2 linked regions of the Oryzias latipes genome follow. The protein of the gene in region 1 purifies or fractionates together with the protein of each later gene. This does not show direct contact. Links are inferred from orthologs where the notes say so. Each region holds a gene or a part of one and is shown on either strand. Other genes may lie near its edges.

Evidence for each region.
Region 2: the proteins of pinx1 (region 1) and tert purify together in Homo sapiens (co-immunoprecipitation; 3 studies listed by BioGRID and IntAct, with this or other methods). This does not show direct contact. The link is inferred for Oryzias latipes from reciprocal best matches to the Homo sapiens genes PINX1 and TERT.

What each region holds. Positions count from the first base shown.
Region 1 is NC_019882.2:13,955,683-13,960,163, reverse strand, and holds the start of pinx1 (PIN2/TERF1-interacting telomerase inhibitor 1), read left to right. Parts: upstream 1-1,664; 5' UTR 1,665-1,717; coding exon 1,718-1,736; intron 1,737-2,415; coding exon 2,416-2,525; intron 2,526-4,481. UniProt on the Homo sapiens protein: Microtubule-binding protein essential for faithful chromosome segregation. Mediates TRF1 and TERT accumulation in nucleolus and enhances TRF1 binding to telomeres. Inhibits telomerase activity. May inhibit cell proliferation and act as tumor suppressor.
Region 2 is NC_019869.2:25,694,832-25,698,649, forward strand, and holds part of tert (telomerase reverse transcriptase), read right to left. Parts: intron 2,920-3,818; coding exon 2,795-2,919; intron 2,311-2,794; coding exon 2,173-2,310; intron 832-2,172; coding exon 728-831; 3' UTR 720-727; exon of another isoform or gene 115-719; coding exon of another isoform or gene 1-114. Other genes in the region: sodium-dependent neutral amino acid transporter B(0)AT3, read left to right, coding at 1-114. UniProt on the Homo sapiens protein: Telomerase is a ribonucleoprotein enzyme essential for the replication of chromosome termini in most eukaryotes. Active in progenitor and cancer cells. Inactive, or very low activity, in normal somatic cells.

The sequences.
Region 1 (4,481 bases):
CGTTGGAAGTTGGGTCATCTAGACCCACTAGACAGTGCTCTGAACCTTTTTTCTTCAATGATTTGTGATCTTCACTGGTGTCCATGGATTAAATGAAATCTTTCCACCTTTATCCACCTTTGTCATGGTAGGGAGAACACGTCACTATAAGGGTGGGGTCATCTAAGATAGCACAAGGGTTAAGTTAGTGTTGCACAATTTGAATTCTATATTCTGCAAATCTTTGATTTGATGTAAATAGTACAGTGGATGTAAAAATAGAATAATGGGTAGTAGTCATAAAAAAGCCTAGTTGTTTTTGCATATTATGGAGCTCTTTATTTCTACTAAAAGAAAACATTTCAAATATTTTTTTTTGAATTGAAGCATTTGTATTTCAAGCTTGGAAAATGCTGAGTTATGCTGTGGTCTCTGCTTCTAGTGTTGAAAAAAACCTACTGGTACTTTTTCTCCATTTACGCTGGGTCAAATCAGAATCAGGTTACAGTGAATGAAAAACCAGATTGTAAATGTGGAAAATAGACATTGTGAATTAAAAAAAAGGAAAACAGCTTTAAACCAAAGTACACATTGTAAACTTAACAGAAATATTAGAATAACCCCATATGTTTACTACAGAAACATGCTGAGGAACAAATTTGAGCTCATTTCTGTTTTATGCTTTTTCATTTCCCTTGTGTGTTTAGCTGCAACATTTTTTTTAATATGTTCTTTTTTTCTTTTTTTAACAGCTAACATGAATCTGCCTCCTTACAAACCGCAGCCAATCACAAACAATTAGTATTGTTTTTTAAGTAAACTACAATTTCTTTGAATGCACAAAGTTTATACAGTGAATGCCTGTCTGACATTTATTGCAATCCTACTTTGTTTAAATTTTTATTTCTTGTCTTGCAGACTGTTTTATCCATTTATGAGATAATATAAAGTTTGCTATTATAAGTTGTTATGATCAGTTGTAATAGATAAGGCTAAAATAACATGTTATGGTGCTGATCCTCACGCAAAAGTACATTTATTCTCTGGCCAATGCAATGTTGACTGTGACCTACGAGCAAATGTTTTGTAGTATGAGTGTATTTTTCCTATACCCACAGAATTTACTAACATTTTATAAACATACCACACAAAACATGTCTTGGTTATGCCTTGAAAATAATTGTTTTAAATCTTTTGTTTTTCTTTAGGGTATGAGACTGTTTGTTTGTTTTTTGGACTGAAAATCCGAGTTTAAAAATGTCATTTAGTTCCTAAATCACTCTTCCACAACCTAAATTTGTCACTTTTCTTTGTGACCTTACAGAATACAACGTATTTTAGGTTTGGATAGCAGTTATTCATCTTATTCACGTGTTTTTATTACCTGAAAAAGTTCCTAGAATGGCATTCCAAGTGGGAGAAGTTCACATGTTTGCTGAAGTTGAGACTTTTGAGCTGAACTCAAGTAACACTGCAGATCCCAACCGGACTCTGAGGTGCTGTGGCGCCCTCTATTGGTAAAACATTTGGGCTGTAAAAGGCAAAGTTCGGTGATAAAGTCTTTGTTTAAATATAAAAAAGTCAAAGAATATTGTTTTATATATAAATTGTAAACAAAAATGTCATTTTATTTAATTTACAGATACTTAAGGTTTAAAATGACAACAGTGATTTATTTTATTCAGGCATTTTGGAAGGTACCTAAATGCTCGAGCGTCCACAAGACTGAGGACCCAAGATGTCTATGCTAGCTGAACGTAAGTACTTTTCTCTTACATGTGTGTATATATTCCTTTTCTTTGTTTATTTTTTTTCTTCATTGTGATATTAGCCAAAGCACCATGCCTAACGGTATAAATTATAAACGGTTTTTTGAGTTGCCATTAACAAAGTGTTAACAAGGTTAGCATTAGCTTTAGCATTTTCCCCCATCGGTTTCTTTAAACACGTGTTTCTTACTTTACAACATGTGTCAAACTGCAGTCATCGCTGTATTTGTTTTTCAACTTGCCCGGCTGCCTCTTATAAGCACAGAGCTTGACTACAGTAGCAGGAAGAGTAGGGGTATCTGAAAAATATGTCGAACACTGAAGGATTTGCAAACGCTGTAAATCAGCTTTTTGACTGTTTATTTTTTGAAAAATAATCGTGGCCTATTTTTTATTTTATTATTTTTTTTGTAGAACTCTCTGTAAGATCTGGATAGTAGTTTACACGTTTGTGTGTGCTACATTCTCACTTGCTTGTCCTTGGATTAAAATCAAGATGTATTTTTTGTCATGATGTTTGTATAAAAAATGTTAAAGCACATTACATATGTTTATCTTCAGCACTGTTTTATATTCACTCTGCGTTTTGAGCTCTATATACTAGTCTAGTTGTCATTATTTAATGACAGACTGTTGAGTAACAATGCTGCTGCTTTTGTGAATTTAGCCCGAAGGAAACAAAAGTGGTCGGTTGACCCCAGGAACAGCACTTGGAGTAAAGATGACTCTAAATTTGGCCAGAAGATGCTGGAGCGAATGGGTTGGTCCAAGGGCAAGGTAAGCGGTCTAAACTTATGCTGATATCTTTAAAAGTGAATGCAATCCAGATATAGTTTTTGTTTGTTTTTCAGAACTTCTTTCTCGTTGCTTTTTTCTTAAGATGGGTGAAACATTTAAGGAAAATTAAGCTTAAAATGACATTTCTGAGTATTTCTTTATTCAAATCGTGTTGAATCACAAGCAGAAGGGAAAAATGCTGTTTAAAAACGACCCTGAAGTTAGCTTCCGATTCACAGCTTCCGATTCGCGAGGGCCCTAAACACTAAGACCACCGTAAAACCGGGTCCTGTTCAAAAACCGCTGGACCTGGACTGCTCAAACCTGGGTTAAATTATGCATTCGATAGTAAAGAACACATTAAACCCAGTTTCTGATTTGTGAAACCTTCCTCTGATTTGTGAAAATGTGAAATAGGTTGATTTTTATACCATTTTACGCACTGAGTCCACTTCAGACCAGGTCCTGGACCTGGACTGCTCAAACCTGGATCAAATTATAAATAAGATAGTAAAGAACACATTAAACACAGTTTCTGATTTGTGAAAATGTTAAATAGGTTGATTTTTATCACATTTTACGCACTAAGTCCACTTCAGACCAGGTCCTGTTCAAAAACCGCAGGACCTGGACTGCTCAAACCTGGATTAAATTATGCATTAGATAGTAAAGAACACATTAAACACAGTTTCTGATTTGTGAAAATGTGAAATAGGTTGATTTTTTATCGCATTTTACGCACGGAGTCCACTTCAGACCAGGTCCTGTTCAAAAACCGCTGTGGGAAATAGTATCATTTCATCAAATTTTATGCAATTTAAGGATAATGGGGACAAGGGAAGGACAACTTTAAGGAAAACACCGTAACAGGAACTCTAAAGTAAATCAGAAAACAAACCAAGAAATATTGAACAAAAAAACAAAACTTAAGTCAGGGGTTCATGCTAACCATGACTATAACTATTTGTCCAATCTGACATCTGTTTCCCAGTTTCTTTTGAATGTTGAGATTTTGATGTCGCCTTGTCTAGCGTTCTTGGATTCCTGTAGTGCATCGTAAAAGGTCCAAGCTTTTGTCTGGGCAGAAGTCTGTGTATTGCAACAAAGTGATTTTGGTCACCCAGGTGATATGTTAGGGCCACCGGCTCGTACCTGTGTGGAGAAATACAATAGTACAATGCAGTATAAAAAATAAAAGTGTTAAGGAATAAAAAAATACATTTCCACCCAAATTTCATGAACAGGACCTTGTCTGAGAAAAAGCGATAAAAATCAACTTATTTTACAAATCAGAGGAAGGTTTCACAAATCAGAAACTGGGTTTAATGTGTTCTTTACTATCTAATGCATAATTTAATCCAGGTTTGAGCAGTTCAGGTCCAGCGGTTTTTGAACAGGACCTGGTCTAAGGTGGACTCAGTGCGTAAGATGCGATAAAAAATCAACCTATTTCACATTTTCACAAATCAGAAGAAGGTTTCACAAATCAGAAACTGTGTTTAATGTGTTCTTTACTATCTTAATTATAATTTAATCCAGGTTTGAGCAGTCCAGGTCCAGCGGTTTTTGAACAGGACCTGGTCTAAGGTGATCTTAATGCAAAAAATGCAGCGGAATGTTCTTTTAGTGCCTTCGCGAATCGGAAGCTGTGAATCGGAAGCCAACTTCAGGGTCGTTGTTTAAAAAGCGTGTTAACAGATGAATGTTGGGAGTTAGTGGCGGATTTACACCGCGCCAATGGTCCCAACCACAACTTGGAGGCAATTTTCTTATGGTCTGCAGAAACTATGTCCCAAAAAACATGATTTTAAAAAAGCCAATATGGAACGCTTTTAAAATAGATGAAAAAAATGATCGGAGTGAGACTTTAAACTCATGTTGGACCTTTTGAGTGCATTAGTTTACAATAATTATTTGTGCTTGTTGTGCCTATTGTTCCTTTTGATAGTGTAATAA
Region 2 (3,818 bases), on another chromosome or scaffold:
GTCAGACTGATCTGCTCAAGAGTCAAAAGGTCGTCAGCTGCAGTTGACCTAAACCCCTACGACAACAGCACCTTTCAGATTGAAGTACAGGAACAGAGGAATCCAAAGGCTTGAACCTGTCAAACGTCTCTTCTCGTCATGCATTTCAGCTGAGAAAAACAATCCTGCTGGTTTCAATGCTAAACCTCAAACATCAGGGTTTTTTATTTCACTTGGCTGCACTTTGTTTGTGTACTTGTGACAGTAAAAGAAATCCCTGGAGGCTGATGACGTTTCCGTGCACATATTTACAGACAAGTTATTTTTAAAGCCTAACCATATCTTCTTTGTGGAAAACTACCGCAGCGAGTGAATCAAAGTCCAGAGATACAGGCGTCTGAGGAATGAGCCAGGCTCCATGTCAGAAGCTGGATTCTTCTCAAGTTTTTCATTCATCAACTTGAGCTTGTTTTACGACACCGGTTTATCACCGGGTTTTATCGCTTAAGTGGTTTTTAAGAGATGACCAAAACATATTTACTGTGCTTTACAGAACACGTAAGATTCCATTTGCTCGTTTAAACAAAAGCCTTGAATGTTCATCATGTCAATCTGAGAGAAAAATTACAACGTTTTGCTTCCATTTTCTTTTCTTTTAATCACTTTAACAAAATAAATCCTCATGTGAAAGCCATGCTGTCAAACTGCCCACACATTTCCGTTCCTGTGGCTGCTTTTACCTGTGGACTCACATCTGCATAGCCAGGAAGTCCAGCAGAGCCCGGGGGTTGGCGGCCTGCCGGACCCTAGCCAGCCTCAGGTCTCCCAGAAGCCTCTCCAACCGGCGCTTCCCTGTCCAGAGGGTGAAAGCAGATATTGAGATATTACAGTTCATCTCCGAACTGTAAAATCCACCCATCTGAGCTGTAAAATCCCATAACAGCTGGTTATAAAACTGCTAAATACACCTGAAAACATTCAGATTGGCCAGCGTGGATACAGCCATCACAGCATCCACCTTTAAGAGAAGATGTATTCCAGGAAAGTTCCTGTGTTTTCATGTTTGGTCTTTCTGTAACAGCCGTGCTGCAGTTCTGACCATAAAAACCCAACGCCAGAGTTCATGCTCGACTGCATCACGGATATTCCTGTACGCCTCTCAGCTGATGCCACCTTCAGGCAAAACCCAGCCTCATCCAGGAGATTTCAGATTCTCCATCAGCTCAGCAAACCTCTCTGTCTCCTGAGGACAGATGTTTTATGAAGAAACAAGTTCAGTAAACAGAGTCCTGATCCATTCTCAGCGAGCAGCTTTGTCATGATATTCATCAATAGTGCCAAAGCTTCTAAACCCACATTCAGAGAAAAGAAATGTTCTAAAAGAATCCTCCTGAATTCAAACACGGGATTGAATAAAGAACTCAAAGATCCCCTCTAATCGTCTCTTCATCTATTGTTAAAGCGTTCCCAGTGGTCTTTAAATCGTGATTGTCATTTTTGGACAAAATTTTTTAAAAGCCGAGTCATTTTCTAGGACATAGTTTCTGCAGAGCAGCAGCAGTTCTTTAGAAATTCACCCACCTCTGAGTTGTGCACAGAGCAAGCCCACCCCCTTCCTCTCCCATTGCTGAGAGCTCTTTGTTTACACGCTCACCTGCTGGCTTACAGCCTCTCTCACCCCCAACCTAACATTAGCAGGGCACCAAACGTGTTAAGCAGTATCAGATCTATCCAGTCGTACAGTTTAGATCCAGATCAGCTCAGACCAGGAAAACAAAGACAAACATGGATCTGTTGGTCTGACAGAGGATGATCAGAATGGAGCAGAGCAGGAAGCTTGAGGCTGCCCAGCGTATTTTCTTCTTCACAAATATGGTCTTTTTTAAACGACATTTTTTATCTGCTCCTGGTTTAATGCAATCTGAATAAAGAAATACTCAGAACTACATTTTTGACCTTCATCTTCTTAACATATGTCCTCCATCATCAGAAAAACGGTTCAAGAGCAGTGAAAGCCTTTGGCTGATCAAACCTTTGAAAGGTCAAAATGATCTGCTAAAATTCTCAAAACGCTGCCAAGTTTTGTCTTCTGCATATTCAGCTGATGATTTGAAGTGTTAAAAGTCTTAGAATATTTCGTTCAGGTGTTGAGTGACTTTCATTTTTATACTTAGTGCTTGGTGGAACACCCACATTTGTGCAGGCGTGGCAGCAGGTCTTTGTAGACGGGTCGGTGTTTAGACAGAACCCGCAGGAAGGCCAGACAGAAGAGCAGCTCCACGGCCTCGTACTGAACGCTGCCCTTCTGAGCTCCATCCCCCAAAACCAACCCTGGAGGAGAGAGGGGAAGCTGAGCACACAACCTGGCAGAGGAGACAGGGCTCCAACCTTCTGTTCGGGGTTTCTCTGAGCCATAAAAGACAAAAACACTAAACTGATCCACATCTTAATAGGTGAAGCTGTGATGCAACACTGACGTTCTGGTTTGCAGTCACACTTATTGTCGAAGCACCAGGAGATCTAAGGATCTTAACGGCTTCTTCTTGGTTCTTCAAACCAAAGGTTTGGTGGTTTGTTCCAGGCTTTTCTGAACCTCCCTGTGATCATAGTCATGGTGGAGAGTCTGGAATCTGACTGACTGCTTGAGTTCAAGTGAGCCTGAGATGAGAAACTCACCTGGATTCACTCATCTTCCTCCGCTCTGCATGGGTTTTTCTAGATTTGCTGTTTCTTGTTTTATTATTCTAACAAACCAACCATTAAAATGACTAACAGACCGTTTCTTTGAGCTGGAAAAGAGAATAAAGTAAAGTACCTGTGTTGCTGCGCCTGATGAGAGCGTTGGCATAGTGCGCCATGTCCCAGATCATCTGCTGGAAGTACGTTGGGTTCTTTGCGACCGTCTGGGCGAAGGGTAAACTCTGAACACAGACATGGAACCTGGACAGAGCGGACACAGAGGAGGCTGCAGGTCTGCAGACCAAAGGCTGAAACACCTGCATGTTCTGAGACGCTAAACACCAAAAGACTTTATTTGAACAAAGGATTGGACTTTGAAAAAGTCTTTAAATGAGCAAAAGAGAGACATAAACAGTTTTAAAGTCCGATCCCATCTATTTTCAGAGCGTTCCCAGTGGTCTTTTAGTTAGGATGACGCCACTTTTAGCCAAAATCAAACATTTCTGTTGTTTTCTAGGACATAGTTTCTGCAGAGCAGCAGGAATTCAGTAGAAATTCACCTCTGATTTGTGGACGGGACCGTTGGCATAAAGCAACCACACCCTCCCTTCCCCTCCCCTCCCCTCCCTGCTGCTGAGAGCTCTCTGTTTTCACACTGCTACCTTCCAGCACATCAAAATTCCAACCTAACATTACTGTGAAACAAAAATGGTGATCAACATCGTAGCTATCCAGCCATTCAATTCTGATCCAGATACCAGCTCAGACCAGGAAAACAAAGACGTTCATGGATCCGTTTGTCTGATGGTGGACGATCAGAATGGAGAAGGAAGACTTTGGACCACCGATTGTAGATTACTAGAACTTATTTTGTTACAACTAGAAGCTGTTTCAAAGGCATTTTTCATCTGCTCCTTATTCACAATGATTTGAATAAAGAAATACTGACAAGTGCAATTTTGAGCTTAATCTACTCTATATACACTATTTTACCAAAAGTATTGGCTCATCCATCCAAATGATCAGGTGTCCTCATCACTTCTTCTGGTCACAGGTGTCTTACATTAAGCCCTCAGTCATGCAGACTCAGTTCATATGTAATCAAGGCAGGTGAGCGGATACTTTTGGTACTATAGTGTTTGTCCTCTGATCAGAAAAAT